4 linked regions of the Nothobranchius furzeri genome follow. The protein of the gene in region 3 purifies or fractionates together with the protein of the main gene of each other region. This does not show direct contact. Links are inferred from orthologs where the notes say so. Each region holds a gene or a part of one and is shown on either strand. Other genes may lie near its edges.

Evidence for each region.
Region 1: the proteins of cAMP-dependent protein kinase type I-alpha regulatory subunit (region 3) and vapal purify together in Homo sapiens (affinity purification with mass spectrometry; 3 studies listed by BioGRID and IntAct, with this or other methods). This does not show direct contact. The link is inferred for Nothobranchius furzeri from reciprocal best matches to the Homo sapiens genes PRKAR1A and VAPA.
Region 2: the proteins of cAMP-dependent protein kinase type I-alpha regulatory subunit (region 3) and akap11 purify together in Homo sapiens (affinity purification with mass spectrometry; 3 studies listed by BioGRID and IntAct, counting the BioPlex papers as one, with this or other methods). This does not show direct contact. The link is inferred for Nothobranchius furzeri from reciprocal best matches to the Homo sapiens genes PRKAR1A and AKAP11.
Region 4: the proteins of cAMP-dependent protein kinase type I-alpha regulatory subunit (region 3) and dyrk1ab purify together in Homo sapiens (affinity purification with mass spectrometry; 6 studies listed by BioGRID and IntAct, with this or other methods). This does not show direct contact. The link is inferred for Nothobranchius furzeri from reciprocal best matches to the Homo sapiens genes PRKAR1A and DYRK1A.

Annotation. Positions count from the first base shown.
Region 1 is NC_091751.1:42,883,440-42,891,655, reverse strand, and holds the end of vapal (VAMP (vesicle-associated membrane protein)-associated protein A, like), read right to left. Parts: intron 5,279-8,216; coding exon 5,198-5,278; intron 4,070-5,197; coding exon 3,896-4,069; intron 2,893-3,895; coding exon 2,731-2,892; 3' UTR 2,659-2,730; downstream 1-2,658. UniProt on the Homo sapiens protein: Endoplasmic reticulum (ER)-anchored protein that mediates the formation of contact sites between the ER and endosomes via interaction with FFAT motif-containing proteins such as STARD3 or WDR44.
Region 2 is NC_091754.1:39,457,317-39,465,494, reverse strand, and holds the start of akap11 (A-kinase anchor protein 11), read right to left. Parts: upstream 4,484-8,178; 5' UTR 4,340-4,483; intron 776-4,339; exon of another isoform or gene 578-775; intron 493-577; exon of another isoform or gene 416-492; intron 301-415; exon of another isoform or gene 200-300; intron 1-199. UniProt on the Homo sapiens protein: Binds to type II regulatory subunits of protein kinase A and anchors/targets them.
Region 3 is NC_091756.1:28,742,143-28,749,866, forward strand, and holds part of cAMP-dependent protein kinase type I-alpha regulatory subunit, read right to left. Parts: intron 7,662-7,724; 5' UTR 7,633-7,661; coding exon 7,459-7,632; intron 4,452-7,458; coding exon 4,281-4,451; intron 4,190-4,280; coding exon 4,098-4,189; intron 3,993-4,097; coding exon 3,931-3,992; intron 3,845-3,930; coding exon 3,798-3,844; intron 3,713-3,797; coding exon 3,554-3,712; intron 3,482-3,553; coding exon 3,421-3,481; intron 3,225-3,420; coding exon 3,103-3,224; intron 1-3,102. UniProt on the Homo sapiens protein: Regulatory subunit of the cAMP-dependent protein kinases involved in cAMP signaling in cells.
Region 4 is NC_091753.1:50,164,239-50,172,715, forward strand, and holds the start of dyrk1ab (dual-specificity tyrosine-(Y)-phosphorylation regulated kinase 1A, b), read left to right. Parts: upstream 1-4,033; 5' UTR 4,034-4,171; intron 4,172-4,614; exon of another isoform or gene 4,615-4,774; intron 4,775-5,706; 5' UTR 5,707-5,763; coding exon 5,764-5,773; intron 5,774-7,215; coding exon 7,216-7,412; intron 7,413-7,646; coding exon 7,647-7,739; intron 7,740-8,088; coding exon 8,089-8,277; intron 8,278-8,467; coding exon 8,468-8,477. UniProt on the Homo sapiens protein: Dual-specificity kinase which possesses both serine/threonine and tyrosine kinase activities. Exhibits a substrate preference for proline at position P+1 and arginine at position P-3.

The sequences.
Region 1 (8,216 bases), on a different chromosome or scaffold from region 3:
CTGAAGAAAGGCCTTGTTTTAAAGGACCAAAGATAATTTAGACAACTCAAAGGGTTGCATGAACCTTCTCCTCATAAAGTTTATTCCAGATGTGGTATACACCTGGCCTTGAAATCTAGTCAGTTGCTAAAGCAAAAGGAATTTGCTCTGCATGTTGGTCTAGCCACGCTCTATTGGAACCCGGTTACTCTGGAGGCTGGTACTGTGGTACTGTGATTGAGTGAAACTAAAATGGCGATGGCTTACTTGAAATGGCTTTGGCATCAACTTCGGACTATTTAGACTTGGGCTTTTGAGTCAAGAGCAGATTGTTACCCAGGTTTATTTGGAAAAGAAAATGTATGGCATACTGCCTCGTTGACTGACACCTGTAGCGGTGAGTACGTCACATTTTTTGTTGTCCAATAGAATGTGGAGACAGTTTGAAAGACAACTGTAGATCCCGCCCCACGACAGAGCTGTCAAAGGGTCGTGGACAGACTATATAGTCACACATATACAGTAGAATGAATTTCCAGGCTAGTAAGCACACACAGCTAGGGTTGCAGGGATTAACCGGCTTGACTATTAACCCAGGTTAATCCCGGTAAAGACGTTTCCAACACCGCCTATAAAAAACAAGCACAGGCAAAAACAAAAGTGAAACTGAACTCGTGCACGCAAAAGAACCAGTGACAACCATCTGGACTACTCCATTTCCACCTAGGGAGTGGTTAATGTCTCCTGTGTGGGAATATTTTAGATACCGGTATATATACACCTTTAGTACTTTAGTGAACTCAAAAAGACCTGCTCGTCAGTGGGCAAGAATCACAGTCACAATATTCACCCAAGTGAGGAAAACTCTGCAAGAATGAATCAGTATCCATCATTAGGAAAAAACTCCATGAAAGCCAATACAGAGGATTCATCTCAAAGTGTAATCCATTTAACATCTAGACGTATAGTGCAGTACAACACGGTGGAGGCAGTGTCATTCTGTGGTCATGTCTGATGATGCGACAGGAAACAGAAACAGCCAAATTATTGTTAAGCGTTTCATAGGTGGACAACAACCCAAAACAAAAACAGTCCTTGCAAAGGGCAGCAAGAAATTGGAATATTGTGCAATAAGTAATCAGATCAACTAAATTGAGCATTTCACTAAAGACAAACACAAGGTAGGAGGATCCAACAAGCTGCAAAAGAAGACAGCTGTTTTTTTTAAAGCTGGTTATTGTGCAATGACTGTGGAAAAAGTTAACACTATCATGTTACTGTCCAAATATTTCTAGGAACAGCAAAAACACAAAAATCAAAACATTTAAAAGCCTGTTTTTTAAAAGATTTTTTTGCTTGTAGTTATAAAAAATTCACAGATGAAAGACATTTTCTGACACTTGAAAAACATTCAAAAACAGATATTTTATTCTGAAGGGCTCAACATTCAGAACCCCAGCCAGTTTGGTGTGGACGCCTTTTCCCACGATTCTACAGGAGTTTCTGCTGATTACATGATTACATGCTTTGACAGAGGTTTATGCTTCACAGAAAATAAGCATCGTATAAAGAAAGCTCTGCAATCTTTTCATAATTGGCCTAAAATTAGTCAAATTATAACAGCAGATCTTGCCCTAAAGTTCTAGAAATGAAAGTACTTAAAAAAACATTTAGTGAAAAAATCTGTTTGGTAAAAGATCGAATCACCAAACATTATTCAAGACCTTCTTGGAATAAACTTTCCCACTATAAAGGTAAAATTAGGTAGTTTTGTTACTCTTCTTAGCTACTACCACTATTTTAAATATAGCATATTTTCACTGCGGTTTATTAATGACACATGGTCTCTGTTGCAGGTTTTCTATCATGAGGTGCAGAAATTCCACTGCTTAATTCTCAAAACAAAAAAAGAAAATAAATGGTTGATAATAAATATTAAGACGGATGTACATGCATTGACACAGAAAAGGAGAGCAATGAAAACCACATATTTTATTTTATTTAGTTAGTGATCAATACCATGGAACAGAATTTTAAAAATGAAAACCACATTTTCAGTAAATATTTGCCTCAGAAGGAATATGTGCTGTGGTATGGTTATTAATAATAATAATAATGATAATAATAATAACAATAATAATAATAATAATAGTCTGCATTGGTGCTGTAAGGAAAACAACAGGACAAATGCACAAGAACGAGGCACCTATATCCCCAGCTGAACCTGGACATTCCCACAGAAAGAAGACAAAAATTACAAATTAATTTCAGAGGTAATCCAGCAACAAGGTCTGCTTAAACGGTTCTGTCCTTTACAGTTAAATCTAACATGTACAGGAAGTCTAACATTCCTTTCTATTCCTATTGACATCATGGAGAGAAAGGAATAAGATCTGGGCCGCCTTGTGCAATTCCGCCTGTCTGCATCTTCCATGTTTTTGGGTGACACTTAACTTTTACTTTCCCATCAAACTGTAAACCAGCTGTTAAAAGGCGTGAGAACCATAAAGGGGAGTACTTAATTGTTTAGGTTTACCTTCTTGAATCAACTCTCGGGGGCAACAATAGTGTGAGATTGAAAAAAGACGATGCCGTTGAATGATGCTGTACAGATGTGTTCACTGTAGGCCACACAATCAATGATATGGCAAAGTCAACAAAATACTTCTTGCTTTTTTCCAGGCCTTTATTTATTTCATTATTTTTCTCAGAAGCCGGAGCAGGGAACACGGCTGGCATGCATCTTCCAGTCTACAAGATGAACTTCCCAGAGAAAAATCCAATGAAGATGGCTGCTATGACGACGAGGAGAGAGGGCAGAAAGGCGACGCTATTTTCCCGGCCAAGGACGTTAGTTGAGTTTGACGTCATGTGGTCCGAGCGGGGCATTTTTCTCATTCTATTGCCTTCCTCCTGTTGAAAAATATGAAACATTTAAGATGGACTACACATTTGAGATTTAGGTTGTTCTTATTAAAACGTCTAATCAAAAAATTGAAGCTAGATTATAAGGTTGGGCTACACGTAAAAATCGGTATTCGTCAATCCAACAAATGACTATGGGCATTTCACACAGATGATATTTAGACATTTTCCTAACTTAATCAGCGATGTGATGCGTCAACAATATACTGCATTGCAATTGGGTCAAGAAATAAATGTGAGAATAAGGGGTGGGACATTTGGCCAAAAGTTGGCGATTTTGCCAAAGCAGAGGGGGCAAAGGAGGAAAGTAACGGATTACTAATGTTTACGGTGTTACTGTAATTAAGCTGTTTCTTTAAAATGTATTGTACTTCACCACATAAGAGTATAAAATATGTTTATTGGCTTTTAATAAATATAAAAATTTGCGATTAAAAAACTACAGCGTCTAAACAGAATGAGACACCGAGAAGAGCAGAAGGTACTGCATACCGGTTAAACCCAAAAGCAATGATTGCTTGTTTGTTTTAATTCTGTTGTGATGTTGTTTTCATTATACTTACATTGATAATTATTTATTTCCTGTAGCTAGGTCACATCTTATGTAACTAGACCTTACTTTCATTGGTGTGTTTTTATGTAGGTTTGAGGCACAAGGTTATTTGTTTGCCTGATTATTGACCTCAACCCTAACTTTTATTTTGCCATTTTATTAAAACAACTTTTTACTTTTACTTGAGTAAAATTTTAGGCAGGTAATTTAATTGTACTTGAGAAAAATATCATCAAAGTATTAGTACTTTTACGAAGTTAATCCAATAGCCCAACTTTGCAAGATTGAAATTATGAAGTATTGTCTTCCTAATTGTTCGACTGATGCTACAAACGAATTGTGCACGTCAGCATCACCGTGGATGATGAAAAAATTCAGCATTCGGCTAAACAGCAATAGCCAGTGCTTTACACAATCCGATTCATCTGCCCGTCTGACCTTTAGTTGCCGGTTCTCCTCAGACAACTTGTTGACCTCAGATTGCAACCTCTTGCACCTCTCCAGCATTTTCTTCATCTCAGCATCATCTGCAGCAGCAGGCATAGCTGCTGATGTCGGCTCTGCTTTCACAGAGTTCATCGCCGGGGCTGCTCTTGTTGCTTCAATGTCATTCTGCACGACGAGAGGAGGAGAAGCATGACTGAGGTGAAATCTAGCATAGCCTGACCCAATGTGAGAATATGTAGTAGAAAAGAGGCACTGTTTCAAGCTCATGGTGCTGGATCAAAGAGATGAGAAAGTCACACTTGATGTGGTTTTGTTTGAGAGACAGCCAAAATGACGACATGGGAAAATAGAGAACTTCATTGTAGAAGTACAGAAATACAACTACTGTATCGTAAGTTGGCCATAAATACAGAGGTTATTACCACTGGAACAACTTAACATTAAAAAACCTTTTCTGTCACTAAAGGGTAGAGAGTGTGTCCACAAGGTTTTCCAAAAGGGTTCCTGGAATGTCATAAAATGCTTTTAGCTCTACGTTTGTCTTTAATTTTGCCTCACTAATCAAAAATCTCATCTAAAACTGCTTCAAAAGTATTTTTTGGACATTTTCAGACAGAATGCCTGTGCAACAATTATCTGTCACCTACAGAAAAATGATGATTAAATTTTAGGTCAAAAAGAAAAATGCAGATTGCAGCTGACTTAACAACTGGTTCTCAACCATCCATTTTCAGCCATTTATCCAGGGTCGGGTTGGGGGGGCAGCAACCTAAGCAGAGAGGCCCAGACTTCCCTCTCCCCAGCCACTTGGGCCAGCTCCTCCGGGGGAATCCCAAGGCGTTCCCTGGCCAGCCAAGAAACATAGTCCCTCGCTGGTGTCCTGGGTCTTCCCTTGGATCTCCAACCAGTTGAACGTGCTCGGAAAACCTCACCAGGGAGGCATCCTAACCAGATGCCCAAGTCATCTCAACTGGCTCCTCTGGTCAGGATGCCTCCTGGACGCCTCCCTGGTGAGGATTTCCAGGCACGTCCAACTGGGAGGAGGCCTAAAGGTAGACCCAAGACACGTTGGAGGGACTATGTCGCCCACCTGGCCAGGGACCGCCTTGGTATTTCCCCGGAGGAGCTGGCCCAAGTGGCTGGGGAGAGGGAAGTCTGGGCCTCTCGACTTAGGCTACTGCACCTGCGACTCTACTCCAGATAAGCAGATGACGATGAAGATGGATGGACGGACGGACGGACGGACGGACGGACGGACGGACAGACGGATGGATGGGTTTTTTCGCCTCTTACCACTTTATCATTTTCAGAAGGCAGCTCAAAGACACATCTCAGTTTGGAATCCATGAGTTCATCAGATTTTGCGTCTCTCCACTGGTAGAAATGGAAAAAAAATAAGTGAAAACGATGCAGTTAATCATCAACTCAAACCCACAGAAGATCTGACTTTACTACAAAAACAGCTTTATAGTAGTTAAATGATTATATGGAAGTTTAATTTATACAAGTCAATTAAAACAGAACAACTGCAGAATATTTAGTTGTCATAAAGCAGTTCAGAGAAAACTACAAGATCTTCTTTATTTAATTGTTGCAAAGCTTTTGCTGCCCTCTGGCGGACAAAGGGTGAATACACCTAAAATAATATGGGCCATAATACATAGCTTAGAAAATATATATGACAACCAAAATAGTTTGTCAGCATTTTGGCCCTTTTGTACCATTTTGTATTATCGAGGAACATCACAAGAGTCCTGAAAAGAAACAGCAAAACAACCACCCCCTCTTGTGTCAGCTGTCTCTACAGGGAGTGCAGAATTATTAGGCAAATGAGTATTTTGTCCACATCATCCTCTTCATGCATGTTGTCTTACTCCAAGCTGTATAGGCTCAAAAGCCTACTACCAATTAAGCATATTAGGTGATGTGCATCTCTGTAATGAGAAGGGGTGTGGTGTCTAATGACATTAACAGCCTATATCAGGTGTGCATAATTATTAGGCAACTACATTTCCTTTGGCAAAATGGGTCAAAAGAAGGACTTGACAGGCTCAGAAAAGTCAAAAATAGCAGAGTGCAGACACTTCTGCTTTTTGCTCCCTTATCTTTTTTTCCCCAAGGCTCTTTGTCCTGTCTGCCTACAGAGCACTTCTCTGCATTTCTTCTGGAAATCCCTATTTTTTAGAAATGGATTTAATTAATTGGTCATTCAACGTGATTGATAAGATCTTTTCCACGATGAGAACGGAGGAGGGGGCTCCCACTTGCCCTCAAGGGACACACGCAGCGGGATATGCGCTCGATTCCTGGCAGGTCTGGAGGATCGTATGTCTCTCTCAGTTGTCCATTGAGGATGTTGAAGACATGTGGATATTTGGCTGGATAATCACTGGATTTCTTCTGATTGGAGTAGGAGGATATCTGGTATTCTGGAAATTTGGGAAGTCGGGAGCGATTGGAGTGCGACCCGCACCCATGGAAAGCACCGCCCGGGCGGATGCCTCACAGACTGGGACGTTACTCGAGGTGAACCGTAAGCGGGACAATGTCCTTGCTGCGTTGCCGGTATTAGTGCGCCAAATGGATGTCATCTCGGAGAGGGTCGCTGGACGGTGTGGAGATGTTTAAAACCTGAAATTGGCTTCACTGGAGGACTGGAATGATCAATACAGACTTCAAGGCAGAGAGGAAAATTATCTCTGCCTGACCCAAACAAAGTCTTGTTATCCAAATCTGACGCCAAGGCAGCCTTGAGCTGCTAACAACAACCCCCACGATGGAAGGAATGCAGACAGATGCTGTAAAATTGCGCCCACATTTTCAAAGTTAAACACATCTCCTTTAACAACGGTAGTTTCTGCATCTTTACTGCTCTGCTTCAGCTCTCCCACCTCCCGCTGCGCAGCGGCCACAAACTCACTGATGCGCCTGCAGCCTCTCAGAGTTCCTGCTGCTCTAAACATTAAAATAATTATTTCATTTTCTGTTCCTCACTTCTGATTACCTTCAATGGTGTCTGTTTGTTGCTACCAGGTACAAAAACAAACTTGTTTTTATTTGACTATATTTCTGTCCTGTCTGTTTATTATCTTCCTGCATCTCCTCTCAATCCTAAAGAAAAACTGCTACCTGGGTTCATATATATTCACCTTTGAACTGCAGTTCTAAAAGATCTACCGGCCGCAAAATCAGCGGAGTGTGCGCTGCTCGCCGGCCGCATCAGTGAGGTGCGTCAGCGGAGGACGAAACAGGTGATACGCCCCGCTCCACAGCAGCGAAAAGCATCAGGCACAAATAAAAGACAGAACACATAAAAGGAAATGAGCCGACATGAACGATCGCGTGTTAAATTTGTTTTTGAGGTGGCGACACCTAGTTTGATAATGTTACTGTGGCCGTGCTCAGGACGCAGATGTCTGGAGCGCGTCAACGATCAGAGCTTTGCATGCACAAGCTGGTTAAGGTTAGGATGGGGGTGAGGGAAAGGTTAAATTGCAAGAGGGTAAAGGTCACAATTTGGTTAAATGTCTGTTTTACGGCGGGTGTCAGTACCGACGCTCTGGCACAGCGCGTTGCCTCCTGATGCGCAGGGGCTCGTCACCTGCTGTCTTTTCCGAGGACTGCATCTTGTCACTCATTATCACGTAACAGCGACTAGTTCATACAACCCCTCACACACACACACACGGTGCAACAATGCACTCATAACTTGCAAAGTTGCTGTTCTATTTCCACAAATACCACAAGCCTGGAGGAGTTCTGCTGTGTGGGTGAGTTGCTAAAGCTAATGGTTAGCTTCGACCAGCCAAGATGTTCTCAGTTTCCTGGACGCTAAACCAAAAACAGCCTTCCCCATCGCAAGTGAAGATAGGTGAGTCCATGAACGTGAAGGGACAATGCGACAAAGATCTGTCAGGATTTCTAGAGTTTCACCGTTTATTTTCTATCAGAAGCTAACACAAGAGATAGGTGTAGAAGACTACATTCAGCTTGTATTAAAAACTCAGGGTGACTGATAATAATCAGAAATATGACTTTAAAAATGTTTTTTCAGTGTTCCTCACCTTTAAAATATTTAAAGTCAAAACAACATTTAAAATAAAACTTTACTTGTCATTAATTTTGTCCAAGAAACTGGTTCATGTTAAGTCTTTGTGCCTTTAATAGAAATATTAATTTGCTGACATTGCCTGTTAAACGGGTCGATTTATTGTCAGTTATGATTGCTCCGGCTTTAGAAAACTCACTCTTGCTACACACAAAAGTAGCCCGCCTGGTGGAGTCATTAATATCTTCATGGTTGCTAAGCAAC
Region 2 (8,178 bases), on a different chromosome or scaffold from region 3:
AGACATTTTCCATAAAACTGTTCATTTCCACTTGCTTTATAATATTAGCATTTGCAATTTTGTTATTAAGGAATGACAAGAAATAAGAATTTATAACACAACTATCAATAAATAAATGTCAAAGAGTAACTAAAACAAAGATCTTATGTAACCATTAAAGGTTAAACTGTGTTGTGTGTCCATCTTCATGTTTTCATAGTGGCTGAGCGGAGAGCTGACCAGGAACAACGGTGGTGGCAAATCCCAGTTGGGTCTGTGATGGAGTGATGCACGCCTGGAGTGATTGCCATCTCATCCACAGTGAGCACACACTCTCTTTCCATCTCTGTCAGATTTTTAACCTTCAAACTGAGCATGTCACACACCTCTCCTAACACACCTGGTTCCAGTTAATGGGCTGCATTTGTCTTTGCAGGGTTCTAACATCAGGCAGAGGGATACTCATGCCCTGAAGAAACCTGCAGCCTGTTGAACCCACTGAAAAACAGAGCTGTACGGCCTTTTTGATTGTCTGTTTACTCCATTTAATGCCTCATGTGTTTTTCATGCCTTTTTGATTTTCTGTTTCCTCTCTTAGTAGGTTTTCCAGCTGGGTACCCTGGTTGCATAGCCTGTTCCTTTCTCATCCTGGCCCTGACGCCGGCTCCTCATGGCTTCCTGGGATGTCCCTCTCTCCTGATACCATCTCATGTCCCGTCTCACTTTCCCTCACCTCATTTGCCTCACTGCTGCTGCTGCTTTCCTCATTCTCTGAAATTATAATGACACTGTTAGAATAAAGAATAATTTTAAAATAAAATATATAAAAATGTCTTAATATTTCAAAAGATTTGTACCACAGTTTACTTGAGTACTTGTGGTCACTGGTCAGTGGATCAACATGCAGTGGTTCTGCTGTACTTCTCACTGCGGGGTCCTTCCTCCTCCTTGGTTCAGGGCGATGAACAAACACAGCATCAGCCCTGAGTCTCACCTTGCCTTGCCTAGTCTTAGTAAACTGTCCCTCCTCAAAATGTGCCTGTAGAGTGGTGTATTAGTTTATTTCCTGCCACGTTTAACAGTTTAATTGCAGCCTTGTGCAGTTGAGAGCAGAACATGTAGAGCCTTGATAGAAAACATGTGAGAGTGCACATTAAACTCACTGCACACAGCTTTTTGTTATTGTGATCTCTGGTCATGGTGAGGTTGCTCCTGCTGACTTGAGCCAACCATTTTCTTCTTCTCTCTGCATCTTTGGGTAAGCCATAATTCTGATTCCTCCCTCAGACTGTTTGCTATATGCAGCGCAGCCAACCAAGGTAAGATAATCAACCTATAAAGCAATTATTAAAATACTATTTTTGTACATATAGAAATACTGAACTAAACCAAAAATATAGAGATGTAAAATTACATTTAAAAATTTTATCCAACCATAAAATTAGCCATTTCAATTTTTAACCCATGGACACATTTTATTTTAATAATAATCAAAATAAAGTTACTCAAAAGAGCTTCATTAGGTCTTGAGTACATTGCTCATAATTAATGATTCAGCTTATTTGTGCATATGTAATGACTAAACATAATGTTGGTAAAATGCTTTATTAAAAATGCTATTATACATGTACAAGTTTGGTGTTCATTTTTTCCACAAATAACACTTTTTATCTACTGTGATGAATCATACAGTTTTATTGAAAATTTATTTTTAATTAGTTGCTATAGAACTGGATACAGATGCATGTACTGTCTTCACATAAAAATATAAAGTAATGATTGTAAAATGTATTCTACTGAACATAATAGATATCATTCAAAGCATAAACAGATACATATTTTCTTCAAGGTAAGCTGGAGCAGAATTCTATTCAATAAACACTTTAAAATGGATATTACAACTCGAGTTTAGGGATTCTTGTAGGACTTAAAGTTATTAAATATGCTTATATTAGAGCAGTGTGTTGCATTACTACATCAAATGTATTGCTATAATATATTATAGTAATGTATGTGGTCTAAATGTGTTCTACAGTGTGTTAGGACTGTCGTGTTCCTGTAATGTAGAACAGTCATGGGTGTTTGTCTTCCTACAAATGCTCGGAAAAATATAAATTGGCTACTTTGTGAAGGAGTTAGGACATAATATTTAATATAATATATAATATTATTCAATAATTACCACAAATCGCCAGGGGAAATGTGATTAGGTTAAATTTTTGTGATTGTCCCACCATACGCTGTTCAAACTGACTTACGGCGCTGTGATGTTTGGGAGCTCCATGAACCACGTGACCGCGAGTTCAAAGAGTGTTGTAACTCTCTTTCTACAGCTCTGACAGAACCCTGCCCTCCTCTCCCAATGATTGGACAGGAATTCGAGAAACGTGATTGGTAGCCAAGACTCGTGCTCTCATTGGTTCCACCCAAGCTCCTCCCACTGACGCTAGAATCGAGACAGATTTGAGGTCTGTACCTGTAGAATGAAATGTGTGTTTTGAGAGTTTTGATTTCAAACGTGTACCTTGATTTTTTTAATTTGGAAGTCTGCTAGTTACAAAACGAAAGTTTCATGTTTCTGAATGAATGTTTGATGTTACAAAATGAGTAGTAAATGTACAAAATTAAAGTTTGATTTTACAAAATAAAAATGCATGTACAAAATACAATGTTCTTGTTACAAAACAAGAAATACAAGTACAAATTGAGAATTACAAGTTATAAAACTAAAGTTACAAGTTACGAATCCAAAGTTACATGTGATGAAACATGTTCCAAGTTACAAAACTTGGCACAAGTTACGCTGAATATTGTCCCAATCCTAGCTCCATACATCTCACCTTCCATCCATTTAGATTCAACCATCACAGTCGTCCTATTTAACTTGTCTTGTTTTAATTTGTTTAGAAAATACATTTCTTATCTTTTATAAACCTGAATCTGTCTGAATTGAGATGAAGTGTGTTTGATCACTGAAAAAGCAAAGAATCCTAGAATCTTCTGATTAAACATCCAAAGACCAAGCAGGTTATATCCTATATCACAGCTTATTGGTCATGAGTAAAGGTAATATATTAAGCTTAAAAGCAACAATATTCACCCCGCTACATACCGGTATGCATTTAATCTGCTGATGATTTTAAACATACAATTACTGAAGACAGTTTTAAGCAAATTCAGCTCCGTTATATTGAGACTTAAGTTTTGGCCCAGTGAGCCCGGCCCTAAGGCACACTGCTAGAACCTCTCAGTTATGATTAGCAACGCTGAGTTCAAGGACTGGGAAAAATCTCTGCTTTTTCATTTCCAAGTGACTGATGGCCAGACAAGAGTGGCTGATTCTAGAATAGAATAGAATAGACCCTACTGATCCCACAGTGGGGACATCCACCTGTTACAGCAGCACCAACACTTAGCCTGAAGAGAAATAATACAACGGTACACGTGTATATATACACACATAGGCAGGTATCTAGCATGGGAACCTTCCAGCACTAAAAACCACAAATAGAAAAATGAAGAACTGAGCAGCATATTGTAAGAGACACGGACATACTATGTAAATCTGGTACGAGGTACTGAACACATACTGAATAGTGCATTGGTGCTATTGTGTACCAGGATAATACCTAACTCTAATTACCAGCTGGATTTAGGAGCATAGAGAATGTACTTCAGGTTAGTGTTAAAGCAGCTTTAACCATGATCTGTGCCAAATATGACACAGCAGGAGTCCGTCTAAAGGCTCAGGAACCCTCTGCAGGTGTTCTGGATTTATCAGCTGATCAGAGTCTGGAATGGTGAACCTTTCCACAAGAATCTGATGGTCTGAGATGTTTATGTGGGCTTGTCATCAGCTGGAAGCCAGAATCGTCACAGATATGACAAATCAAGGCCCGAAGTATCTATGAGTCCGTCTCATACACTAGTTTCACCTTTCAAGTTGAATTACTGACATAAGCGAACTTTTGCACCAGATTCTCGTTTAGGAAAGTCAGCTGGGCTGGAAACCCGGTCCTGCAGCGGAGACCAGGGACCCGGTCCTGGATCAGGAGCAGGCCGGATGTTGGTGCTGACAGACGTTAAGCCCACATCACGGACTTGAGCTCGGCACGCGAAGTTAGCATGCTAGCTGAAGGACAACAGAGGTTCGGACGAACATCACTGACATAGGAAATGACACCAGTCCCGTCCGCAGCCGAGCTGGGCTCTAGCTACGAGCTCACCCAGGCCGCGCCGCGGTGGTTTAGCTCCGCCGTAGGTGGACAGCAGGCAGACCGGAAGCTGCTGGTGGCTCAAACAACTAACGGATCCACCTTCTTGTTACTGTACCCCGGTATTTAGTAGAAATTCAACTCACCTCTCGTTGTCGGACACCAGAACCGCTGGACAGAGCCGCTGCGATGGATGCTGTGCGGTACGGGAATGATCTTTTCGTTCGGAACTCATCTGAACTCTTGCTACAAACACGGATTTCGGGAATAACTGGCAAAGGTTCGTGGACCCAGACCGTTTCTGGAGTTCAGACATTTATGATGAGATGAAAAATTAACATCATATTTAGTTCTATTGCGTTCCACAAACCGTTCAGCTGTTTCAGACCGATTTAAATGGCTCCTGAAAATGAACCGAACGGCCCACGAACGCGTTCCTTCCCGATTCGTCCCATTGACACACGCAGACGCCCCATGTGAGTCATTTGGAATCGTAGGATGTCCAAGGAAGGTCCCGTCTTTCTCGCCTCTGATTGGCTGGAAAGACTCTCCTATGATTGGCTATTGCTGGGTTTTACTCACGTGACTATCGTGACGTCACAATGCGCGAAATTTCAGGATGGGGCAAGAAGTGTTTTGCAAGTCAAAGAAACACATTTTTAAATTTTAAACAATGTCTATCCCTCAAAAGATGTGCTCAGAAAACGTTTTAACATTGATGATAATTCATGTTCCTTTTGTGGGAAGGATGTTGAAACAACTGATCATATTTTCTTTGAATGCAACAAGACACGGACGTTTTAGAACTGTTTTGAAAACTAGATTCAACCTCAAATTGGAATCCCATGTCCCATTTCAAGAGATGGCATCACCTTTGGAACTCTCCTTCAAACAAACAACCAAGAACTCTGCTACAATCTACTTCTCTGTCTGGCAAAATTCTTCATACATAAACAAAAAATACTGAAATCACCCCCTGTGTTTAATGCATTTGTACATGATTTTAGATTGTATCTAAGATCCCTTAAATGTATCAATAATAACAGCTATGAAGATATGTATAGACTGTTGTGTAGACTTCCTGGAACTGTGTAGTGGTCCCTTGCATTTGTCCTCCCCCTTTTATAATAATAATAATAATAATAATAATACATTTTATTTAAAAGCGCCTTTCAGGAGGACACCCAAGGTCACTTGACAGAAAACACGTGATACAATACAATAAAACAATAATAAAACCCAAACAAGAAAAAAACAAAGAGAGAAACAGTTCAATAAAATCAGAGGTTGTAGACAGATTTAAACATATGTTTTGAGTTTTGTTTTGAAAAGGGTAAAACTGTCGATGTTCCTGATGTCTGGGGTAAGTGAGTTCCAGAGTCGAGGAGCAGAGTGGCTGAAAGCTCTGCTACCCATGGTAGCGAGACGGGCAGAAGGAACCGCAAGATGGATGGAAGAAGAAGATCTGAGTGAACGGGATGGGGTGTGAATACTTATAAAGTCTGAGATATATGGAGGAGAGAGGTTGTGGATTGCTTTGAAGGTATGGAGGAGAATTTTGAAGATGGACCTGAATTTAACTGGGAGCCAGTGAAGCTGCTGGAGAACCGGGGTGATGTGGTGAAAGGAAGGGGTTCTGGTGATAATACGGGCTGCTGAATTCTGGACCATTTGCAGTTTATGAAGGAGTTTGTTGGGGAGACCATAAAGAAGTGAATTGCTATAGTCGATACGGGACGTGACGAGGCTGTGGACGAGAATGGCGGCAGTGTGAGGGGTCAGTGAGGGACGGAGACGGTTTATGGAACGTAGATGGAAGTATGCTGACCGAATTATGTTATTAATGTGAGCTTGAAAAGAAAGTGAGCTGTCAAGAATGACACAGACTCTTGACGTGAGGGGAGGGGGAGACTATGGCGCTGTCAGTTGTTAAAGATCTTTTCACTGACTGTTCGATTCTCATCTGAATACATTGGCATGCTTGCCTTATTTGTAATGTAAATATGCTTTTCTGCAATAAAAAAAACGAACACAACGCGATGGAGGTCAGCGAGTATACAAAGGCTTTAAATGGAGAGGATATCGTAAAAATACAACTTAATTTAGGGTATCATCCATACAGTTTAAAAAAGTTGGACTTTTCTTACAAACTTAAGTATTTACCAGGCCCCCACAATGCAGCTCTGAAATTGAGCCAAACCCAGAAGTGAAATAAATTGCAGTTCCACTCTCATCCGCTGGGGGCTGGTGTCAGAAACGAGCAAATCCTCATTGACTCCCATGTTAAAAATACCAATTTCACAGCAGAAATAAACATGTTTACAGCTTGGTACCAAAACATGTTTTTGGTTTAAATGATCTAGTTTACACTCATGACAACTCTGAGGGGGGTGAATTTTTTCTCACTCTTCTGTTTAAGTGTATTAAAAGCCTAAAATTCTTTATAATTAATGAGCATCAGACCCACGTGACCACAAAGCTAGCGCCGTGGAAAGGCCTCAGTAGAGCCTCGGTCTGGCTTGGAAACTGTTCCGGGATTTTGAGTCTCTGTGTTTGTGTATTCTTGTTTGGATATTTTTTGTGCAACTGTTGGACAAAATGACTTGCTGTGGCATTAATTTCACTAATAGAGCGTCCAAGGAGTCTCCACTTCATTTTTTTCAAAATTATATTTATGTATTTTAGTTAACTGCCGAGTTGAGCTTAGATTTTAACATGTACTGTCTAACCATGAAATTTAAATGTAATAGGGTAAAACCCAGTGCATTTAACATAATGCTGCACTTTAGAAAATGGGTTGAGATATAACATGTTGGTGGAGCTGGGTTCCGACTATCGGCTTGTGGAGCTCTCGGGAGACCGATGTTTTCCACCCTTATCCCCTCCCCGCAGCCCGGTCCATCTCTGTCTGATCGCGGCTTCTGTTTGCTGCGCACGGGCTGACGGCTGGTTCTCCCAGCAGCTCGGCGCATCTGTCTGATCGCAGCTTAGCTCCGCGGGCTGACGGCTGGTTCTTATGGCAAGCCAGAACCGCCAAAATACGCCACTTCTCCCCGCAGCTCGGCGCATCTCTGTCTGATCGCGGCTTCTGTGTGCTGCGCGGGCTGACGGCTTGTGGAGCTCTTGGATGGAAACCTTTCCACCCGGTTCTCCCCAGCGGCAGCTCTGCGCATCTCAGATCGCAGCGGTGCTTGTCTGCTGTGCGGCTGCCGGCTTGTGGAGGTCTCGGAGAACTCTGTGTTCCACCCGGTTTTACCCAGCGGTCAGCCCGGCGTATCTCTGACTCAGAAGCTCTGGTGTTGTGCACAGTTAACTCCAGTTGTAGCTAGGTTGCTACCTCCGTTAGCTTAGTTCCCACCTCCGCATTAGCTTTGGGTTAGCTTCATGTTAGCTTGTAGCTAGTTCGACCGGGTCGTCAGTCGATCCCAGCCTTACAGCCCCACCCTCAGGTCCATCTCTCTTCCCTCTTATGGAGTTGTCTGGGCTTGACGGAACCTGTGACACGGTCAAAATGGCGGTGGTGGCCACCTCCCATTTTAGCAGAAAAACTTGTTATTGGAGCCTATGGAAACCCATTGTCCATATATTTATTTCGATGGTATTTACCCAGTGTTGAGAGTAAGGTCTAGATGCAGCTGCAGCCGCTACAAACCCCTACAAAACACGCCCCCATGTGCCTGTTGAGCCCCCCTGGCGGTCAGAAAAGGGAAATGTATCAATAATGGCAGTGATGTGGGTCAGATCCGGTGTTACGCCAAATTCTGCGACCCATCACAATTTGTGACCCCAGGGGGCAGTGTTGCGTTTTGTTGCATCTGTACATCCTGAATTGGCATAAAAGGAGAAGATGTTACATTCAAACTATAAACTAGTATGTACGGTTTGAGGAAGTTGTGCAGCGTGGACCATGGATATTAAGAGCGTTTGTTGATGTTTATTGTAAACAAACGGGACAATAAATGCAGCGATAAGCAGGGCTAGCCTT
Region 3 (7,724 bases):
GCGGGGATGAAAATGTTAACACATTATTAGTGTTAACTAATGAAACGCCTAATGCTGACAGTTTATTTATCACGCACCAAGACACTTTTGTCCTTTTTATTTTTAAAGTCTGTTTCTCTCTGCACCCAGACGTTCCCCGGGTCACAGCAGGGCCGAGATCTGCATCACTATTGTTTGAGGTTAAAGTCTGATGTTTTCACCAATGACATCATTGTGGGTGGGGCAATTAAATGGAACATGAGAACGCCGCAGATCTTCCACAAGAACATTTCCATTTAATATTTCCAGAGTTGATCAAACTAAATTTATTTGTGAACGCTGCCATGCTGAACTTTCCTGTCAGTGGAGTTTAAATGATCACCTAAATGCAAAAACACGATCGATGGCTTTAGATCAGCGCCGCAAACACACAGCAGAGGCTTCAACGGGCTACATGTGATACAACATGCAGGAGAATGGTAGATAAATGGAAGCATGTAGTGATGCTCGATATTGGCTCCCGACACTGATATACGCAGGGGTCACTCTTAATAAAAAAAAAAATTAAAAATTTGTTATCATGCATGCTTTAAACCAGGGGTCGGCAACCCGCGGCTCTTCCATCCATCTGATGCGGCTCTCTGTGCTTGTAAAATGACGAATGGATATTTAAATAAAATGCTTTATATTTTACTGCATTAATTTTACATCTGTATGCCAATTCTAAATGTAAAGATTGTCTGCGTAAACCTGAACAGGTCCAACCCGGTCTTACTGTGAGACCGGGTTGATACGTCACGCTTGTGCGTAATCATATCGGCGCATTCTGAGCTGAAGAGGATGTCAGATTCTGGGATTCTCCTCAGACGGCTCCTGGATGTGTCGCCACATTGGAGACAGGAACAAGCGCTATTCAGCCAAAGTTTCATAATCAGGGAACATTTTCTAAGTGACAAGTCTCGCTTCAGACGGAGGAATCTTCCCGCATGCGCTCTGGTTCTGCGACGCGCTCCAAGCCCCTCTCCACATCTTCAGCTCGCTGTGCACCGTGCGTACGCGCTGACAGCGAGCTGCGCTGAGCGGTGTCCAGCTCAGATGTTCAGATGGGAATCTTTTCTTGAGTGATTTAGCTACATCTGCGATGTGCATAACGAATAAAGAGTCAGTTCGTCTGCATGCGTCGGGGTAATTCTTTCTATTCTTTCTCTGTCAAAATAAACGGCCAAATACGGGAACTATCCGGTCAACACAACACAAGCCCTGCTTTTAACTGTTCTGTTTTCTTGTGAAAATTGTTACAAAGAGATATAATTTAACTTGATTAACACCAGAGCCAGGCGCACAGCGCCGTTGTCTCCGTCGCTGTAAATGAGGGAAAAACAGAATGATCGGATCCTTTTCTGACCTTCCCCACCTACAAAGTTCAATTACAACAATCAAACCAGAGCCTGGATTTGTATTCTGAACAGTCTAAACATGTTTTAAAAAGAAATGTATGACAAAAGTGGAAACTCAGTAAAACCACCAACAGGGTGAAAAATATCAAAATCCTGTAGGCAGAGACGGGCTACAACTTCTGGATCCATTTTATATAAATCGTTTTATTGATAATCTTCTTATGAAAGACAGCTTTGACGTACACGAGCGACCGGTACCGGCTGCTGTCACCTGTTGTGAGCAGCTCTCTGCTGTCTGAGGGTAGGCCCCGCCCACAACGCCGCGGCTGCTGTGGCTCCCAGTGTTTTCTTTACTGTGGGAAACGGGTAATAATGGCTCTTTGATGGGAACAGGTTGCCGACCCCTGCTTTAAACATTATCCATGCAAAATTGCAGACAACTTCAATGCATGTTAGTAATAGATAAAAGAAGCAGCTGAAGACATTCTCCTTGAGATAATCTGGACTAACGCTCTGTGACGCCTTTAGGCCTCAATTAATTATCCAGTTCATTATGGGAAAAAGGTTGATTAGGTTAGTAGGTGATAAAAAGATTCAAATGTTTTAGGTTTTGGAAATGGATCAAAGTGAGACATCACTGTTTCAAACAATCTTTGTTAAACTGTCTGAGCAAAACACGACAGAGCGAGTGCTCTGTGCCTTAGCTGCCGGTGTGTTTACATCCTACATTTAAGCAGAAACTAGAGAATTAACGGGTCATCAAGAACACGTTGATTTAGCCTTAACGTGGGCGCCTTGGAGAACATTTGTCTTTGTAAGTATCTATTTGTTTAGGGAATGTTTGGGCATGTGTTAAAGTGACCTAGCTGATAAAGTGTAAGCAGCGTGAGCGTACACATGCTATGCGAGGCTAGTTGCTAAGCTAAGATGTGTGCGTCAGTCAGTAATGTATTTCTTTTGGTTTCTGTAGATTGTAGTTATGTTGATAAAACATTTATAACGATCGTCATTTAAGAAACACGAGCCTTGGGGATAAGATTCTTGTGTTTGGGTGTTTGCTAGCTGCTACGTGCTCTAAGGACGGCAGATCCTCCCCACACGGTGCAAATTCCTAATTATCCACAAGTTCTGCCAAATAAAACCAAAATATCTCAAAACTAATCATCAGATCTGTCATATTTTGGCATTATGAGAGAGAGGAGATGAAGCCAAAGAGTTTGATGTGTAATATGTGCGTGGTGTGTAAAAGTTGGATCACTAAAGGGGTAAAAACCGATACTAATATTTTCCGATATTACCCTTTAAAGCAAAAATCATCTGATAATATCAGCAGACCGATGATATTGGACATCCACAGAAGCAAGACAAGCTAACAGATGCCACAACAGAGGGAAGCTACATGCTAATTAGCATCATGGAGGATGAAGTCTGAGGAGCTCTAATGTTCCCCTGTGCTACACTGGGAGGTGGACTTGCTGCTTATGAATTAACTTTTTGCATTTTGAGCGTGCAGTATCCTTTAGACGTAAAACCTTTTTATAAAATGTCCTAGACAGCATTAGTCATCGTTCGCCAAAAGGAAGTAGGTTTCTCTGCTCCTACTTCTTATAAAAACATTGGAAACATGAGAAATATCATGTGATGATACATTTAAAAATTGTAATTAATCACAAATAAAACGTTTTAATGCACCGACAGCCATGAGTATATTGGGTTGTGCATGAACCTCTAAGATTATGAAGAACTCGTCTCCTGGCTCTCCCTGCACAACGATCTTCTGTCCATCCTCAAACTGGACGGGTTCTAAGGCATCGGCCACCGTCAGGCGCTCCCACTTATCAAGAGACTCTGAGGAGGGAGAACACAGATGTTGATCTGATAGACCATGATAACACAAAAGGCTGAGCCCGCTCTGATTATGTCTAGATATATTTTTACATACACCTTCATGTTATTTTAAACTCCAGATCTAACACCAATAACTCCACTCCGTGTTTATTTTTAAACTTCTACACAGCAGCTGATGAGAACTAAACACACCCACCTAGAATGGACACTTTCCTGAGGAACTCCTCGTACATCTTTCTCTTTCTCAAAGTGCTTCCCTGAAAGAAAGAGGGTGGGTGTTACTCCAACTCCGTGAGATGATCCACAGAGTCGACGAGAAGTTCCCTCACCATCAGTATTCTCCTGTAGCTGTCTCTGTCGATGCCCCACAGCTTCACATTGGTCTTGGCTCTAACGGTGGCTGCCCTCGGGGTGCCGTAGATCAGTGCCAGCTCTCCAAAGCTGCCCCCCTCGCCGATGCTGGTCACCCATTCGTTGTTCACGTACACCTGTGGAATCAGACAGGTACGAACCATGCCTCAGAAAAGGATCAACAAAGGTCTTTATGTTAGAAAACCAAGTAAAGATGCTCACATCCATTTCTCCTTGGTCGATGACGTAGAAGTTGTCACCCTCATCACCTGAACACATAGAACAATACATTTAGTATCGCACTGGTCATAATATCGTCAATATTTTAGATAACACATGAAACATGTGCTCCTACCCTGCTGAATGACAGTTTCCCCGGCAATATAAGTGACTGGAAACATTGCATCAAATATGTCGCTGGGGATAAAACACACCAGTGAGTTGATCCGATGAACACAAATAACTTAAAATCCACGTTTCACTTGAAAAAGCTTCAAATAAACACGATCTATGGCCCGGTACCTTCTCTCGTTGTCATCCAGGTGTGAGAACAGCACATTCTTTTCAATGGCTTTAGCCAAAGCAGCCATCGTTTTGTAGTCTTTTGGAATGACCTGTAATTATAGAATTAAAGAAAGAGATTTTACTATCAGATATCATCAGAATCACTACAATACGGTTCGCACACTGGAGTGATTAAACTACCTTTCTGACATACGAGGCTGCATCTTCCTCTGTGTACACCTCTGCACTGAAGGCTCCTCTTCGTCGGCGACCCTTTACCACGGGGTTCATGGGTGGAGACACCTCCTCATCGCGAGAGTCTGAGCGGGAACTGCTGGCTTTCTGCTGGCTCTGGATCTGCTTGGCCTCCTCCTGCAGGAGTCAAAGAGAAGACTAGTGTTCCAGGATGCAGCCCCATCAGCCACCGATGTGGAATAAACCTCCAAGGGTTCAGATGTCACTCAAACATCATTTCTAAATATGTTTATGTATTTAGCAGCTGCTTTGGTTCATAGCAACTTACAAGTGATAATGAAGCCAGCAGGCTGCCCTTGAGGCTAACAACAAAACACTAATCAGTCACCCGTGGTGGCAGAGAGGCAGCATAATGAATCATAAAGGGAAGTGAACAAGGAGTGAACTGTAGAGTGGGGGATGGGTGCAGGGTGGGTCCTAGTCTAGAAGATGCTCTCTGAAGAGCTGGAGTTTCTTGAAAGTTGACAAGGAAGCCCCTGTTCTAGTCGTGCATGGTATGTCCTTCCACACCTGCGGAACGACACATGAAAAGAGTCTGGATTGTCCTGAGTGTGTAGGCTCTGCTAGCCGACGATGATCCTCTGATGACCAAAGTGGCCGAGCCATGAGGTAAGCCTTTTCAGGTTAATGGGAGCCGTACCATCCAAAAAATACAAAAACCCGTATGCATGCACATCTGTAGGAGAAAAAAACGAATAGAAGAGCTGTGGTTTACTGATTTTAGAGTTAGGACATTTTCTGTTAAACCTAACATTTACAGCCATTTCTGTTTTGTATTGATGACATCACAAATACTACACCAGATCATTTATTTAGTGATGTCCCGATTCAACTTTTTCACTTCTGATCAAGTGACATTACTCAATCGGAGAACAAAAGCCAATAACAGTAAGTATGGAAAAATGGGAAAAACTATTGGTTGCTAAAATGTGAACCTTAACGGACCGCTTATATCGGAGATTTTTGTTGCCGTCCGATATAATTCACAATACAATGTTTTTGGGTCAATATTGAATTACTTTCGATATCAGAACGGGACATCCCTAAATTTATTCAAAATAAAAATGTTAAATGGGTTGAACTGACAATTTGATTTTATATGGTTGTATATTTTTTATTAGTTTAAGTAAAAATCTGTTTGTTTGTTTTTTTTTGGAGAGCACCATCTAGAGCAGGGATTCCCAAAGTGTGGTGCGGGTGCGCGAGCTGCCGCTAGGGGGTGCGCGAGGTGAAAAGTGTAATGGCTGCGGAGCTCAGAGAAGTCTGTCATATGTCACCATTATTGTAGAAACTCATTTGTGGGTGGGCCAAAGAAAAAGTAAGTGGGCCCAATAAATGTAATTGAAAACAAGTATATTTTTGCGCGCGTGTCCTCCACATGTGCCCTAGCTTCATAATAACAATGCACCGAGCTTCAGCACTCTGGCCTGCGCACGCCGATATGTTCCGTATTTGATCATTTTTAACGGTGTTGGAGGAATCTGAAGGTGGTGAGTCATTCTGGCAGATTGTAATTAACACCCTGTCTCATGCAGGTGTTCTGACATTGTAAACCTCACACACAGAACATTGTGGATGTAACAAAATAACAAGAAATGATTCCCATTCAGGCTATTAACAGCGCGCTGAAGATCTGAAGTTCAGAGTGCGTCTGTCAGAGATCAGACGCGTTCCAGTCACGGCTCACGGGTGCACATGTGAGCACATCTGGGCTGGGCAGAAGTTTTAATAGCGACAATAACGAGACGCGGTGACTTGAGCGGCTGTGCCACGCGTGCGTGCGCGCACACACACACACAGATTCAATAAGCGCGCACGCTGCTTTAACTCCGGCGCGCCGTCAGACTGAAGGCAGAAATGAACGCTGCCTCCACCACGATAAAAACTTTTAAGAGGTTATTTTTCATTCAAGGTCAAATTAAGATATTAGCTTCTGGGATGAGTCGGGTCCGCTACAGCCAGTGACTCCTCATGAACCTGACCACAACTCCTGTTACTGCAGCATGTGTTATTCCAGTCAGCGTGGCAGCGGATCACAGATTCAGCCACACCATAAAACAGCAATAAGTCGGTCTGAGGTAAAAGTGAACATCATGGCTATATCTTGTCCCCTATTGACATTTGATTACGCACAAGCAGGTGATCAGCTCAGGTTTACGCAGAACAGAAGGAAGGAGAGCGCTCTGGCCGCACAGGTTAAACGTTCCTACTTTAAGAAAACCGTTCAATTGCATTTTTTATGTGCTACCTGGGCACTCTAAATATTTATTTAAAATGAAATCAAAGGAAATTGAAATGGTATCGAATGTTTATTAATTACTATTTAAAAAATGAAAGTGATGGGGAATTTTTTTTTTAACCCTGTCTGTTTAGCTTGACATCTGATATATATATGAGAGAGAGAGAGAGAGAGAGAGAGAGAGAGAGAGAGAGAGAGAGAGAGAGCGAGAGAGAGCGAGAGCGAGAGCGAGAGCGAGAGCGAGAGAGAGAGAGAGAGAGAGAGAGAGAGAGACATAGAAGGGGGTGCGCGGCTAAATAAGTTTGGGAACCACTGATCTAGAGCAAAAAGAAGCACCTTAAGACCCCCTCTTTACTTATGTGAATATGGATGGAAGCAACGCCCCTCGTTCGTGTGTGTGTGTGTGTGTGTGTGTGTGTGTGTGCGTGCGTGCGTGCGTGCGTGCGTGCGTGCGTGCGTGCGTGCGTGCGTGCGTGCGTGTGTTAAGACTAACTTGTACATGAGAAATGTCACCAATTACACCAGTCTAGGTACATCTCAAATGTTTGCGTTCTGTCACTGCCGTCAGTAGGAAGATGTCTAACGCCATTGGCTAATGCTGAGCAGAGCTCAGTTCAATTTGCATGGGGCTCTAGAGGATGGGGCTGGCTTAGCAAAAACAGATGTGTTGCCTACATTATATCACAGTAAAAGCGTAAGACTATCACTTTTATGGAGATGTAAAAAACAAACATAATTCCGGAAAAAGGAGGGAAACTGGAGTGTAGCATCAAAGGAAATTAGAGCAAGTGTACAGAAATGTTAGTTGTCTGTGATTACCTGATGTAAGAATGTGTAATGTTTAGCATTCAGTGACCAATATTAAGAACCATAGTACACACAAACCTTCTCAAGCCTCTCGAAGTACTCTCTGAGGAAGGCCATGGGCCTGTCTGGCCTGGAGGTGCACAGCTGGACAATGCAGTCCTTCAGCAGCTGCTGGATGTTGTGTTTCTGCACATACTGCTCGCACTCCCTCAGGCTCCGCTCCTCCTCGCTGCTCGTACTTCCAGATGCCATGGTGACAATGCTGCTGTGTGACCTCTAACCTTTGTGCCGGAGAAGAGAAGGAGCTAGATGTCAAATCAAGACTGAACATTTTTGGGGGGAGT
Region 4 (8,477 bases), on a different chromosome or scaffold from region 3:
GGTACTTAAATAAGGTGGTTGAAGATGTTTATGTTTTCTTCATCTATAGTCGCTTTGGAATTTCAAAAATGTTAGAAAAAAAGAAATTTGCATTTTCAGCTGAGATATTTTAAATCTAAACAATAGAAATGATTTAGTTCATTTGTCATTTCTTTGGGGTTGTCTGTTTCATTTTTATTACAACGAGGCTAGTTTCACAATAAAAACAAAAACTAATTCTCATTTAGGGTAAATTAATGCAACAAGATTAGTTTTCAATCCCTTTTTGGCCACAGAACACACAAAACTGTTTGGTGGATTATAATTTTTCTCTCTGCTGTTTTAATTCATAACTTTTATCATAAATGTGCTTTTAGTTGAACCTTTCACATTATATAATACTGCTTCTAGATCTTTAAAGTTTTATAGGCTAATAACACATATGGTCTTCATTAATAAAACAAACTACTGATTTTAAAAAGTGGCATGGTAATAAATAGCTATATCTCTTTGTCCTTCACTCTATATGTGTACATGAAAATGAAGAATGAAGCACCCAGAACAACAAGGCACTCTCAGTCCCCACTTGGTGGTGCCCCCGTGCCAAGAAACTAAAAGATGTTTCTGAGATTTTACATTTTAAATCACTTTTAATCCAAATCTCACTTTTAAACAGTAATTAGAGCTTTTATTAACATAAAACATCAATCCAAACTGTTTTAACGTGATGTTTGCTGTCACTTTAAACAACGGGAATGAAAAGATACAAAGAAATGTTGGAAAATGTATTATGGGTGCATTAGGAAATCGGCAGCAGGAAAGAAAACTTTGTGCCATCTTTGCCTTTTGGGGGTAAACTGGGGAGCAGTATAACACCATTTTTATGATTGAAATGAACCAGTTGGGTTGTTTTGTTTTAGGATTATGTCAACGTTAACATCTGAAACCTTCAAACGCCGCGGGACCTGCAAGAATCTGGAAAGAGTCACAAAGTAAGTGAGGAAATGTTCTTGTTTCACTTTTAAATAGACGGACTTATTTTCAATTAACATTAACTGGACTTGGAGTTTTTTTTAAATGCCTAACATGCAGTTATCAGTTGTTACCATCGGTTGTTACATATATTCAATTCAATTCAATTCAAGTTTATTTATATAGCGCCAAATCACGACAAGAGTCGTCTCAAGGCACTTCACATAATAAACATTCCAATTCACAGTTCATTAAGCCAATCAGAAATAATGTTTCCTATATAAGGAACCCAGCAAATTGCATCAAGTCACTGACTAGTGTCAGTGACTATACAGCAATCCTCATACTAAGCAAGCATGCAGCGACAGTGGAGAGGAAAACTCCCTTTTAACAGGAAGAAACCTCCAGAGAATCCTGGCTCAGTATAAGCAGCCATCCTCCACGACTCACTGGGGAAACACCTAATGTTGATTCAGAATCAGATTGTGTAAAATACTAATAAACAGGTACAGCTTATATTTGGACAGTGACCTTTAGCCGGGTAAACAGGTTCAGTTTCACCGAGAACCACTTTTAAAATCACATTGATGTAAATGTTTGGTAACACTTAGGGTCATTTTATTAATGTTAGTGTGTTATTAAGCATTAATAAACCAATAAATAAAGTATAAACAACTGCTTAAAGAGCAAGTCACCCCCAAATAAACTTGTTTTTGCTGATAAACTATATAAACGAGTGTCTGAGTGTGCTGCAAACACATGCAGTCAATAATTTGGCACTTTAGCGCATCTTAGTTAAAATTGAAATATTCTGCCTAAAACTGTCACTGTTGCGCCGTCGTCAGGTAAAAACTCTGCACTGCATTTGAATTTAAATCTACCATCACTATTGGCTAAGAAGTACACTATGATGTCAGCTAGTACATCATGAGATCACAATGTCGTTGTGAGCCTATGTGTGTTTAGTTGTTAGCGGCTCTGTCCTTTCGGTCTGCCAAGCAACTGCATTTTTTGCGTTTTTCAAACAGGAATTGGGAGTGGAGTAAGACTCTGGTAGGGGGTGACTTGCTCTTTAACCATGTTATGTATCGTATTACCAAGTAGACACCCTTCCCCTCCCTGCCCTTCATCCCAACCTTAAGGACACCTTATAGTTAACGATAATGTTAATAAAGAGATCCTTTGTTTATTAATGCTTAATAATACAATAAGTAACTTTAATAAATATACCCTTGCTGTAAAGTGTTACCAAATGTTTAAAATTAGCTTAATAATAATGTTAGCTAAGCGGTCTCAAGTCTTTCCTCTTGAGTCATAAATTAGGTCATGTTCATATTGGTCAAGTCCATGTACCAAACTTTTAATTCAAAATCCTAAACATTAATTTGGCAAAATTAGTTATTTCATTAATTAACTGATCCACTAATTATTAATATTTTTTAAACTTACTCCACTGACTTCTCTAAGTCATGTGACTCGTGTCCAATGAAGTAATGAGGAGTAGTGTGTGTGTGTGTGTGGGGGGGGGGGGGTTCCAAGAAACCAAATTTTACAAGAATTTTCAGAATGTCTGGTCAGTGAACTTCATTAAAATAAAAATAACACAGCATTACCTCATTTCAGTAAAACTAGAAGAGGTAGTAATCATTAATGAATCGAAACTGCCTTATGGGAAAATGTAGGGGACATGTCCCCCCGTCCTCACACCATAATTGTGCCCATGCTCCATTCTACACCTCTGGTATAATGTACTCATGGGAAAACAAACAAAAATACAGTTATAGATAGCTATTTGGTTTCACATAAACTTGGTTTATATCAACATTTTACCCTTTAGCTAAAAAAACATTTATGGATGGTTAGAAATTAGAATATAATAACATAACATTTCCATTTGTTAGAAGTCATCTGAAACTTGTAGCTTAAATTAGTTTTAATTATTAAATTTTTTGTACAGAACAAGGACTGCAGATTTGATGATCCTGTTCAAATTTAATTTACGTGCTAATAATTTCAATATTGTCAATAACAGTCATTTGTGTTGGTACTTAATAGGCTAATTGTTTATTAAAAATAGAATTTTCAGCATTTATTTGTTTTGCTGAGATAATATTACTTAAATATAACTATTATTATTATTATTATTATTATTATTATTATTTTCATCATCATCATCATCATTATTGGATTTAAAATATGCTGAGGAGGAACCACCACATAGTGAAATATTATCGGAATAAAATAAGCATCGTCATCCAAAAAAAATAGCAACAGGCCGAATGAGGTTAAAAACACGGAGAGGGGCACCGCTGGACTCCTGTGTGCGCTGTAACTCTGGCCAGCTCCGAATTTATTCGTCATTGGCACATCCGGGTATTCTTTCTCTTTTTTTTTCTTTTTTGATTGACAGTTTCCATAGCAACAAGCTAGAGCATCGCCATTTTGTCAGGAGGGTTTTTTTCCCCCCCAGCTCAGTCTTTTCAAATGTTCTCCCTTCCCGCCGGAATAATGCTGTCAGTGGATATATTTTTGACGTTTTTGGATATCGAGATGCGTCTAGTGGATCGGATTATTAAGAAGACAAAGAGCCCGACGTTTTAACCTAGTTGAAATAATTAGGCGGTGCCGCACTAACTCAGTTGTCCGTGTCTCTGGTCCACCGGGCCGGTTCACTGCGCAGGTTTGGACCGCGCGCCATTTTGTGAAAATTGACACAAAATTCCAAACCAAAATTTATCAGAGGACACGGCTTCTGCTTAGTGTTTAAAATGCACTAGATGTAATCGCGTTGTCGCCGCTCATCGAGGTGACCGACATTTCAGTCGCAAAGACGAGCGTTAAATCAGAATTTGGCATAACGTTTATTTAGCGGTGGCTAGAATCGTTAGCTTCAGGCTAAGTCAAAGGAGCTAGCTGATGTTAGCTGCCTTCATTTTGTGAACCAGCTAAGGTTAGCCAGTAAGTTACCCGTGCTAGTTAGCATGTTGTTGGTCATCAGCTGATAGTAACGTTTGATGAAATTACTTCGATCACGGATGTTGCTCAGCAAGGCTTGGACAATGAAGCGCGTACTAGATGTGACTGGTGAGTTATTTTAGCCGGCCAGAGGACGGGGGATTGGATTTACTCGCTAACCGTGCAGGGAGGTGGAGAATCAAGCTGGATAAGTTTCCTCATCATACAGGTTATTGGACTTTAAATGAAGATCGTGCCATTAGAGGTAAGCAGATCCAAACTGTTCTATTTCACATTTGCGTTAATTTGGCTTTTCTCGTACGTATATATGTCCCATGTAGCGTGAATGGTTAACAATGATGGAGGCGGTAGTGAAGTTGTGGCGGCTAAGAGATTTTGTGGAGCCAGGGTTAACGTTTGCTTACAGTCAGTAGGTCAAGAGACGGGTTTTAATGCTGAACGTGAAGGAATTTCCAGCTGACTGTGAGTTTGGACGGAGAGTCGTGATGGCACGGTGTTAATGTTCCTGCTAACCGTGCTATATTGGGTCCTGTCATTGTATGATTGAAGCCGTGTTAGCTTACCTCCCCGATTTGATCTACTGCATGGGCCTCATAGCCCGCTGGCTGCACACAGCGTCACTAGCTAACGTCGGGCTGGTGAGAGATATGCTCATCTGCCCCGCAGTTTTCAGGGTAACGACGACAGCGTTATAGCTAGTTAGTCCGCTAGCGGTAACGTGACGGGGAATATCATCTATTTGAGGATTTGGACTGCCTCACGAACAATATGTAAGCAAGAGAAGACGAAAATTAACACTGAATATGCTTTCTAAATTCCAACCATGACGAGATCTACCTTATCATCTGTAAGTACAGACCGACTCGGTATATATTTATTCCCCGCGAACGTTTAGCATTTAATTGTTTTGGATCGGTTATGTTTGATCCATCTTTGGAATGAATCTAATCAGTTGGGCGTGAGAGGATGACACACGGGGCTTGTTACAGAGATCTTTAAGCATCCTTTTGTACGATTCGGCTTCTAATATCAAGCTAGCTGTCGATATATTTACACATAAATAGGCCCACAGATGCCATAATGACCAGAGCCAAGAAAGGAACTGTTCATTTCTTAGTACTGAAGAATAAGATAAAGCAGACGTTTAGGAAAAGACTAAAGAGCTACAAGTGTGCTAAAAATTGGCATTTTGTACCACTATTATTTTACTTGTATTACAATTAGTTTAAACGTTTTAAATAAAATCAAGTCTCAAGACTGTCTAATAGAAGTAAAGCACTCTCAAACTAGTTACTTCCCTCCAGTTCTTTGTAAAATTACATAGTCCTGTACACTAAATATAGTTGTGTTCAGACGAACAGTTGTCTATTTTATTGGTGTATATTTAAAGCTAAAATTCTCGTTTAAATAACATTTTTACCCTAGAGTATACTAAAAGAAGCTAAAGCCTCAAGGCCCACAACAATGTGAATTCTGATTTGTTTAATTTATTTTTTTAACCGTTTTACAGCTTTGCGATTGAATTTTAATTCATTAAAATCTCAAGCAGCTCATAGTTAAAACCTGAAATTTAAAACTTTTAACACACATTTTTAAAATATGCTTTAAGTTGTTTTATTTCCACAGCATTCACATCCAGCTCACTTTTACAAGTTTTTGGGGGTCCCTTATCATCTTTGGTGGCCATCTGTCACTGATTCTTAACTCAGGTTTAATCTCAGTGATGTTAAATCCCACCCAAAATGCAAAATTATAATAAAGTGTTTTTATTCTTTGTAGTGGGTTGTGGTTTGCTGCTGGACTCTCCTCCCAGGATGATATGAAATTAAACAGAAGATGCATCCAGGTTAGCAGCTGTACATTAGGCTTTAACCCTTTGCTGGGGAAAACTAGTTCACTTATGATCTTTTCTAACTTATGTTGCTGTTTTGAATTTGGCCTCAAGACTTAACATCTATGAGTCATCATGAGCAGGACCAAGTCACACAATCTGAACTGCCCGGGACTGTAGTTATTATTTTTAAATTGTTGATGGTAGTTTTTATTTAGTTATTTAGGTTATAATGGTAACATTTATTTTACACAGCAGGATAAACAGTAACAAAGACATGATGGATAATAAGGATATATTTAGAGCTCATAAGATGAACAAATATTTAATATAATCTTAAGTGTAATTCACTTTTTAATTTGTTTAAATTACATTCTGAAAAGGTATAAATGTGTATTTTAACATATTTATAGTGGCTGAAAAAAGAGATGCGTCTTGGCTCTCAAATACCTTGTTGTCTGTGCTCTATCACTTTACAGTTCCTCTTGTTTCTGTCAGTGGATGTGTATTTTCTGCTTTTCCAAAGCTGGGTCAGCTTTCTAACGCTCTCAGATGAAGTGCAGGTTTTAGGCTGTGCAGCTATTTTACTGTCAAGCTCTTGTGTTGAAAGCAACGTCTAAGTGTGCCAAAGTTCAGTTTTATTTCTTGTTTATTTCTTGTTTTCTCATTGGAAAATGGGAGCAGCTCTGCCCTGGCAACAAAAGTAGGCTATTTGCATACTGCGTTGTGATTGGTCTGTGCATTGATGGGCTTGCCAAATCACGCTGTATCTCTGTGGTGATAGGCTATGCTAATTAGGTGCTGTTGCTGGGATTCTGAATAGTGGTTACTGTGTAGCGCTGGTGAATTGTGTTGTCTGGTGAGAGATGCTGATAGCTGAACATGCTATTTAATAATTTTTTGATTCCTTCTGGCTTAAAATGAAGGATGATTCACTGTACAGTGTGGAGATGCTGTATTCTCGCCCCTTCTCACTGTTAAACCTACCGTTTTCTCCCTTTTCTTCACAAAGGTTGATACATTGCTGCTGTTTTATTTTTGCTGTCCTTTTCATGCAATTTAGATTTGGTTAACATGTTCATTAAAATGCAATATCTAAACATTAATTCAGATACTGTGCCTTTTTTTCCTAACATGGATTTATTAAAGACCTGTCTTATTTTAACATGCATGTTATAAATAAATATATTTTATTCATAATGAAAATTGCGCATTTTTGTAAAGGTGTAAAGGGTTTTTGTTGCTTTTTTGAAATAGTAAAAATGAGAAGTTTATATTAAATCTGTACAGTCTGAATGACACTTATTTTAACTGTAATGCAAAAAATGTTTAGCATGAAAATGAGAATATAACATACCATTTTTTTATAAACTTTTTCTTTCTTAATGTTATTTGTCAGTTTATATATTGGGGATTGAAGTGAAAGTACATTCCCTAACATTGTTCTTTTCTCTTAGGAGGAGAGACTTCAGCATGCAAACCTTCGTCCGTCCGGCTTGCGCCCTCTTTTTCTTTACACACTGCTGGTCTTCAGATGGCTGCTCCAATGCCCCATACGCACCAGCAGTACAGTGACCGCCACCAGCCAAGCACTGACCAATCTGTTACAGTCTTACCGTACAGCGACCAGACACCACAGCTCACTGCCAATCAGGTATACGAACCCCACCACATAGCTCCTCAAGGTTTTACAGTTTTGGGTCCAATATCAAAGCCTACTTCCCTTTTTCTACTGTCACTAGGCAGAGCAGCTACATGTCAAATGTCACTTTCAGTTTAATCACGTCTTGTTAACCATCATTACTTGCAATGATTCAAGAGGATGCTGTTTCTTATGAAATTGCCGTGTGTTTTTTTGTTCATGAATACTTTACCTGTGACACTCCAGAGGCACATGCCCCAGTGCTTTCGTGACCCAACTTCAGCTCCCCTGAGGAAGCTCTCCATCGACCTTATCAAAACATACAAACACATCAATGAGGTTTGTTTTTTTAGTTTGTTTTGATGCATTTAAATCTAAACTAATTATTTACTTTAGCAGCTGAAAGAGTTAACCAGCTATACTTTTAATCATATTGGATATGCTTACAATTAAAGTTACTGCAGCTTTTTTTTTAAATGTCTTTTAGATTTTTACTTTTGCTGAGACGAAACAAAATGCAACATGTTTTAATTTACTGCATTTTTATTGAATAAAACAAAGTCATGTTGGTGAGATCATGATAAAATAATCCATTAGAAGATTCAACTTAACAAAGATCATTGTGTGTTTCATTAGCTCGTCAAAGACTTGTGTGTGTGGTTATGGGATGTAATGTGTTAACTTACAGGTGTATTATGCAAAAAAGAAGCGACGGCACCAACAGGGTCAGGGTGAAGACTCCAGTCATAAAAAGGAGAGGAAAGTGTTCAATGATGGCTATGACGATGATAACTATGACTACATCGTCAAGAATGGGGAGAAATGGATGGACCGCTATGAAATTGATTCCTTGATAGGAAAAGGATCGTTTGGACAGGTGCTTCACTATCAGTTCCACTCAAACGTTTATTTGATTCATAAGAATACAATGTTCTTTCTAAAAGTATTAACCAGCATTTCTGTACATTTTCTTTTGTGATTATTGACCCTAAACGTTAATATCAAAACTAATCCGTAAAAACTTCATGCTGAGCAAACTGTAAACTGTTTGTCGTTGGCGTGTTTAGGTTGTGAAAG